2 linked regions of the Cricetulus griseus genome follow. The protein of the gene in region 1 binds, or shares a complex with, the protein of each later gene. Links are inferred from orthologs where the notes say so. Each region holds a gene or a part of one and is shown on either strand. Other genes may lie near its edges.

The links. Proteins that work in one complex are often made in the same cells at the same time.
Region 2: the proteins of Mapk8 (region 1) and Dusp16 are in contact, whole or in part, in a crystal structure (PDB 4YR8), measured with the Homo sapiens proteins. The link is inferred for Cricetulus griseus from reciprocal best matches to the Homo sapiens genes MAPK8 and DUSP16. Residues at the interface, in NP_001310257.1 of Homo sapiens: Arg189, Val196, Ile197, Leu198, Gly199, Asp229, Ile231, Trp234, Gln253, Thr255, Val256, Thr258, Tyr259, Val260, Asn262, Arg263; in NP_085143.1 of Homo sapiens: Phe215, Leu267, Asp268, Tyr271, Lys275, Pro279, Ile281, Ser282, Pro283, Asn284, Phe285, Asn286, Leu288, Gly289, Gln290, Leu292, Asp293.

Annotation. Positions count from the first base shown.
Region 1 is NW_023276807.1:185,964,824-185,968,491, forward strand, and holds the start of Mapk8 (mitogen-activated protein kinase 8), read left to right. Parts: upstream 1-765; 5' UTR 766-916; intron 917-3,668. UniProt on the Homo sapiens protein: Serine/threonine-protein kinase involved in various processes such as cell proliferation, differentiation, migration, transformation and programmed cell death.
Region 2 is NC_048601.1:14,194,452-14,198,100, reverse strand, and holds part of Dusp16 (dual specificity protein phosphatase 16), read right to left. Parts: intron 1,158-3,649; 5' UTR 797-1,157; coding exon 569-796; intron 1-568. UniProt on the Homo sapiens protein: Dual specificity protein phosphatase involved in the inactivation of MAP kinases. Dephosphorylates MAPK10 bound to ARRB2.

The DNA.
Region 1 (3,668 bases):
TTTCCATGTTTTTTTGTATATACTGTGCATGTAATGTATTTTTTATATATGTGTAATCATTCTATGTGTACGTGTTTCTTGCTCCCTTCTCTTATAAGTTACTTTCTCTGGTTGGTAAAAATGCCTTTGAACAAACACATTGTCTTTAAAGGGATAAATATACTCTACTGAATGAATAATAGTAATTTAAATGCCTTTCCATCCATTGTCGGGTGGTTAGGCTGGCCAGTTAATCAGTCCATAGCTAATATTTGCAGGAGACACGAGGCTTTGGAGGTATATCAGGTAATGCAAAGAATCTGGAGCATTTATTTTTTGGGGGGGTAACTTTTTCCAGGGAGCTGGAGAACATTTTCTTATTGGTGGGTGGTAGGCCTTGGAAGAGTGGCTGTCCAAGTAGGATTCTCCGTGGCTCACGTGTGTGCACTGACATGCGTGCCTGACCTTCAAACACTAACGCCCCTCCACAAGCTGGCAGCCCAGCAGGCTTAGGCTATGACTGGTGTTTCGCCGCCACGCGCCGCCACGTGCCGTCGCAGCCCCGCCCCCTGCTGCTCCCGGCCACGCCCCTCACACGCGGCTTTCCCAGTTGCGGCCCGCGGCGACCTCCGCGAGTGCCGCCTGCTCTCCAATGTAGCCACGCCCCCGGTCACTGGGCCACGCCTTCACAATCCGGGCCCCCGGGGCCGCTCCGCCCCCAGGCCGCTCGCAGGCGCGGGGGCGGGGCCCTGCGCGATGACGTGGGCGGGCGTGCGCGTTGACGACCCGCGTCTCTGTTAGTCAGCGGAGCGGCCGAGGCCGGACGTCGCGGCCGGAACGCGGAGCCGCGAGCAGGGCTGAGTAGCGGCCGCGGCCACCGCGGGACGGCGCCGCTCACCGCTACGGGCTTCCCGGTCGCCATTGGCTGCGCTGCCGGGTGAGTGCGCGGGCTCCGCGGCCCGGGCGGCCGCCGCCTTCCCCCGGCCGTGACCCCCTCCGGGAACGCGCGCGGGGCGGGGGCGGCGCGGGAACAATAGCGCGGGCGGCGGGGCAGCGGGGGGCGTGGTCCACTCGGCGCGACCTGGCTTCTCCACTCTGGCCGGTTTCCACGTTGCGCGGGGAGAATGGAGCCGGTGGGCGGCAAGTTCGGAGGTGCTCTCGCGGAGATCGGGCCGACGCGACCGTACATAGGTCTCCCGCACCCACGGGGAGCGTGTTTTGACTGTGGGCGGTTTCTTTGTGCGGACGTGAGTGCCGCGACGCCGTGAAGGGCCGGGTGGCCGCGAGCGCGCCGGCCTGCGGGCCGCGCCTTCAGAGGGGCTCCTGGCGCTGACCTTTTGACTTTCCCCCACCGCTGTCTCTTTGTCTTGTGCCTGGATTCCCAGTCCAGACACGGTAGATCCAAGTCCATTTTAAAGTACCGTAAGGAACACCTTGCATTTTCATTCCCGAAAGTTCCCTATACCACCGGCAATTTAATAACATGTTGACTGCACGGTGTCCAGTAGTTGCTATTTCTACTTCTGAAATCAAGTGGTCTTTTCAGTAGAATTCTGGTCTGTCAGCCTATTGTGTTTTGAGATGAGCATCCGCCAAGTACCTTTTGGTCAGTTAGAACATCTGTTTATTTCATTCATTCATTCAGCAGCTGTTAGTACTGTATCCAGATGGAGAGGATGTGAAGGCCAAGAGAAAGACCCTTACGAATAGGGTACTTTGGAATAGAATAGATGTGCCTTTAAATAAGACTGTTATATAAGTGATATATGTTAAGTAAGGTATTTGCCTCGTTTTATTAGAACTTCTGAAGGTAATGTGATAGGTAATGTGAAGAAGAGCTAGATTTGCTTAAATATACCACCATTATTCTTAAATCTTACCACCACTCCCCTAATTTCTTGTCGTTGTTAATGGTTACCTCAGGCTGTTAGACCTGGGAGGTCAGGTTCTCTGAGTGAACATGTTTACTGCTGTGTATGATGAAAGCAAGCACTCAAAATGGTACTTCGATGCCTATCTTGCATCATTTCTCCAGCACCTAGCATGGAAGTCATACACGTTGAGTTGATTAAAAAAAAAAGTTTATAGAGGAAAATTGGAAGCTTTAAATCCCACCCCCACCCCCGAAGTTTGAGAAGTGTCAAGCATCACTCTCAGTTGGCTGCATCGTAAATTAGTAGAGGATACTACCTGTTAAGATAAAAGAGGGTTTGGGATCACTGTTTTTGTTTTTATGCTTTACTTCCAGGGCATTCACTATTTTAAGACCACCCCTGAATTTTTTGCATATAATTAATAAAGTAGAAAATTGTGTTGTGTGTGTGTGTGGTGGGGGGTCTGTTAAGTATGTGTGTAAAAGTTGAGCATCCATAACTTGAAAGTCGGAGATACTCCAAAATCTGAAACACTTACAGTCCTTTGCAGATAAGGGGCATTCACTTGGTACTTTGTCATCAAAGTTGGGTACTTTGTTCACTTCCAATATTTTAGATAAGGGCTTTTTCCAGCCAGATGTGTGAATGAACCCAGACCTAACAGTGGTGTTTCATTAGGAATCTAACATGATTTCATTTTTCTCCCCTAAAAAAAAAAAATTACTATCTAGGGTGCATGGTGTGTTTTTTGGGGCAGGGGGTACACATACTTCTGTGTGCATGTGGAAGCCAGAGGACAACTTTGTGGGGTTGATTTTCTTTTACCTTTAAGTGGGTTCTAGACATCAAACCCAGATTCCCAGACTTTTAGGGAATGTATCTTTTCCCACTATTATTTCACAAGTTTTTATGATTTCTTTGAGTAGAAAAGCACAACACCCACATGTGTTTTACAGATATTTTATTTCTAATAGTCTAGAGCTGGTTAATGTTTTAGAGTTGCTTACTGGAAAGGTCAGGTTTTAGCTTGTACTTATCTATCTCACAGAGCATATGGGTTTAAAATGCAAAATACTATGAATTTATCCAAGTTTTGGCACGTTTCCACTATTTAAAAAATATTTCTTTTCGATATGAAAAGTCATTCAGATGAACTTATTTACTGTAGAATAAGAATGGAAAAATAAGGAAATTATTCTATTACTCTGAGTGATAGACCTTGGGGCACCAAACTTTTATTGCTTTACCTAGCTAAGTGTATGAGGTTCCAGAAGGGACTCTGGAATTAAGAAATCATTTGAGTGGCTCACACACAGACAGACTCTGCATAAATTCAGTTAGGTTGTCTTCTAAATTCTGTTGTTTAAACAGCTTTCTTGAGATTTAATTCACATAAAGAGTGGCTCTCATAGAGTATTTTTTAGTGGTGTTTAGTCTACTTGCATAATTATGCATTGATCACTACTATACCATTCTGGAGCATCATTGTACCACAAAGAAAACCCCCTTAAAAAAAAAAAAAAAGCAGTCTGGTGTTTGAAAGGAAGAGAGTATGGGTTCTGTTAATAAATAAGTCCCTTTAATGAAAAGGGTACCCTTTAACTGTCGTGGCATATTAGGAAACTGTATATTTCATGCTCCTTTTAATCCTTAGAGAAATTACTTGGAAAGGAAATTTAGTATAAGAGTTAATTGAGCCATATGTGGTGATACATGCCTGTAATCCCAGGACTTGAGAGGCCAAGACAAGATGAGTTTGAGGCCAGTCTGGGCTACAAAAGCTAAAGAATAAATTGTTACCAAAATGAATACAAT
Region 2 (3,649 bases), on another chromosome or scaffold:
ATGGCCGAGAATAATTATTTCCTGAAGAAAATGTCTTAACCAATATTACCACATATAAATATTACTTTTACTTCTAATAATTAATTCTTACTTTCAAAGCACTTGAAAAGAACGACTTTCAGTGGATTTGGAGAAAAGACAAAATGTTGTTTAAATTGATAAGACAATCTCATCAAGACACTAATACATAAACATAGTATTGTGTCCAAATTACAATAAGTTAACTATTATGTATAGCTTAAAATAATACTTTCCTTCCCCTGACATTCTTGAGACAGGATCTTGCTATGTAGCCCAGGCTTGCCTTGAACTTGTGGCAATCTTCTCCCTCACCCTCCCATGTTAGGATTATAGGTAGGCATAAGCTACAATTGCCTGACTTAGTTTAAAATATTCTTAATATGACAATGTGATTGTTAATCTATTTTTAGGTATTGCAAGATTGCCAAATTCCAAAAGACAACCAAAATTTCCTCAAATTACTTTCTGTACTTAAAAAATAATCTTCAATCAAAATATTTCTTCGGTTGCTATGTCCACTTACTTTAAAAAGTCATAAAGAATTTACCTTATGCTTTGCAGAATGCTGGATAAGTTCTGTAATTAATACTTTGTCCTGTTGCAACCTTCGCTTCATCAGCTTGGAGCAGTTAATATTAATGGCTTCCAAAATGTGGGATGTATTGTATTCCACAAATGGCCGACTATCAATTAGCAGCACTTTTTCCGTTCCACTTTCCAGCAGAGCCACCAACCTCTCAGTAACAATTTGAGTTCCAATCATCTCATGGGCCATGACAACAATAAGTCCTCTTTTCCCACCTCGTTCTTTAATTTTCCCGATGATGTAATGGTGGTGTGTTCAAAGGCTCAGCCACTCCATTGTACTATAAATGTATGAGGTCAGGCTAGTGGTGACTGGCAAAAGGAGAGTTAAACCCATTTCAGCAAGAGCCCTCCAACTGAATGTCTCTTTCTCTTTCCTGCTGACGTGCCTTGCAAAGGACTCCTTCCACAAAGCAGCCCCTCACATCTGATCCATGGGGAGATGACGGGAATAACCATCCACAACAAAAGATGCTTTGGGGCAGCCAGGGCATTACATCATCCTTTACCTTTGCTCCCTCACTCCAACAGCTTTACACTGGACTGACAACCTATACGAAGAGAGAAAGAAAGACAGAAAACAAAACATGGGGTCAGAAATAAGAATGAGTACCAGATTAGAGAATGTATGATTCATAATATTTACTTCATTAATCTAATTCCATACTTAATGCACTGTGTCATTTGAACAAACAAAAAAGATCAAGTAGACACAGCTTGAAGAGGGAGAAACCGGGTATACTATTAATTCAGTTTTAAGCTTACAATATAAAAACTTCAAGAAAACAAAACTTAGCATTCATAATTATAATCACCTGAGATCCCAAACTAAATGGTTTGTATGAAGTTAAAAGGCTAGAAAAGGTAGCTCAAAGTGTTACTATTCCAAATGGTTTTCTTCCATTTTATTTACTTATTCCTGAAAACAGTACACAGAACAATAGCAAAGAATTGGGTTAGCAAGTCCATATTATTAGGAGAGGAAAAAAACAAAACACTTTTCTCCTGGCTTAAAAATTACTGTGATGAGTACACAGGTGCAAACAGTAGCCCCTTGAGAAAGGTCAGGAAAACAAGGCTCCACACAGTTCAGTTATCTTTTAAGCACACTTCAGTTACCTTTTAAGAGCTACACAGGGCCTGTGATGTGCACAGCTACACAGCAGGTGATTTCACAGTCATGACCCTGGCCTATCTCCTTCCCAAGCCCGTATCTCCACCTCAAGGTCCTTGACCTGCCATCATGACCATGGCAACTCTTATAAAGGAGAACATTTAACTGGGACTTGCTTACAGTTTCAGAGATTTGGTCCATTATCGTCATGATAGGATACCGCATCATGTAGGCAGACATGATCCTGGAGAAGGAGCTGGGAGTTCGAAATCTTCATCTACAGGCAGCAGAAGCAACTGTGTGCCACACTGGGTGTAGCTGGAGCATGGGAGACCTCAAAGTCCACCCCACAGTGACACACCTCCTAGAAGATCATTTTCTTCAAACCACACAGGCATGTCCTTTCTAAGGCTAGAAGTTAGGGATTCTCCTGAGAATGTTCTCCTTTATAAGAGTTGTCATGGTCATGATGTCTCTTCACAGCAAAAGAAACCATAACTAACAGAACCCTTTAACCCGGAATTTGAAGATAGTGTGCAGAGCCCTTAAAATGCTTCCCCCATCTCATCAAACTCTTGAAGGAACCATTTCCTACGTAACACTAATTGGAGTTTAGTGTCCAAAATTTGTGTTGGGTCCTAGCCTTTGGCATTCTTAGATTTGTATCTATCTTGTTCCATTTTCCTGACGTGAAACATTCTCTGACTAAAATGAGAAGTTTGCTACTGGCATTCAACTTCTAGAGATGTACATTTGGTGGAAATGGCTTGTACTTCCACTCTGCTTGTAGATACGGTGCTCAATTTAACTTTCATAGTAAGTAAAACCTTTCTTGTTAGAAAATGAATTAAGATTATAAATAAATATTTGATTGCTTGATTTCAGAACAAGGTGGTAGAGATTTCAATCTTCTTAAGGTCATATTCTATCGTTTTAAGCTTAAATTTCAAGCCTAGGGCATGGAGAAAAGAGACCAGGCTATAAAGAGAAGTGGCCTGGAATTTACTGGTTATGTAGCTTCTACAAAAGACAGATGCAGAAGTGAGGATCTCCTCACAAATATTTGTTCTGAGGACAAAACTACCTAATTTATCTAAAATTCATAAATAAAAGTGACCATGGGTCAAACAGAGAGAGGGGAGGAGGAGGAAGAGGAGAAGGAGGGGGAGGAATGCACTCAAGAAGAAAACACCAGTGAAGCTGGGCATGACAGTGCCTGTCTTTCCTGCTAGGATCAAGGGGCTGAAAAGGAGGACTTCCGAATGCCAGGCCAGTCTGGGCTACATAGTTAGATCCTCTGTCTCAGATGTGGGAGGCAGCACTGGTGAGCAAAGCTCACTAGTATCTGGAATCAAAAAGACATCACTTAGGCTAGAGATATGGCTCAGCAGTTAAGAACTCCAGCAGCTCTCACAGAGAAATAAGGTTCAATTTCCACCAACCATCTTTAACTCCAATACAGGAGATCCAATGCCTTCTCATGCAACAGGCACATACATGGTGCACAGACATGCATGCAGTCAAAACATAAATATTTTCTTTAAAAGAAAAAAAAGGCATCACTGAGTGGATGAAAACATAAGTAATTCCCTCTCCTATAAAAGTCCAGCTACCACCTTTCTCACAGGGCCCGATATAGAGGCACCTGAGAAATCTTATTTTACAAATCCCACATTTATTATATGTCCAGGTCTTGTCTTCTAAGCACCAAGTTTCATTACACTGTATTGATTTTCAATATACTTTTATGTCAGTGAGGAATAAGAATCACCTCTAAGTTCTAGAAGAAACTAGAGCAAGACAATCAACAAACTTTTGCAAAGCACCCAACATGTCCACAGCATTGGATAAAGTTCTGCGTGCTCCGAGACACGATCATGGCAATGAAAGGCCCTACACTGAGAACGCCTGACTTTCAGACCAGACCCT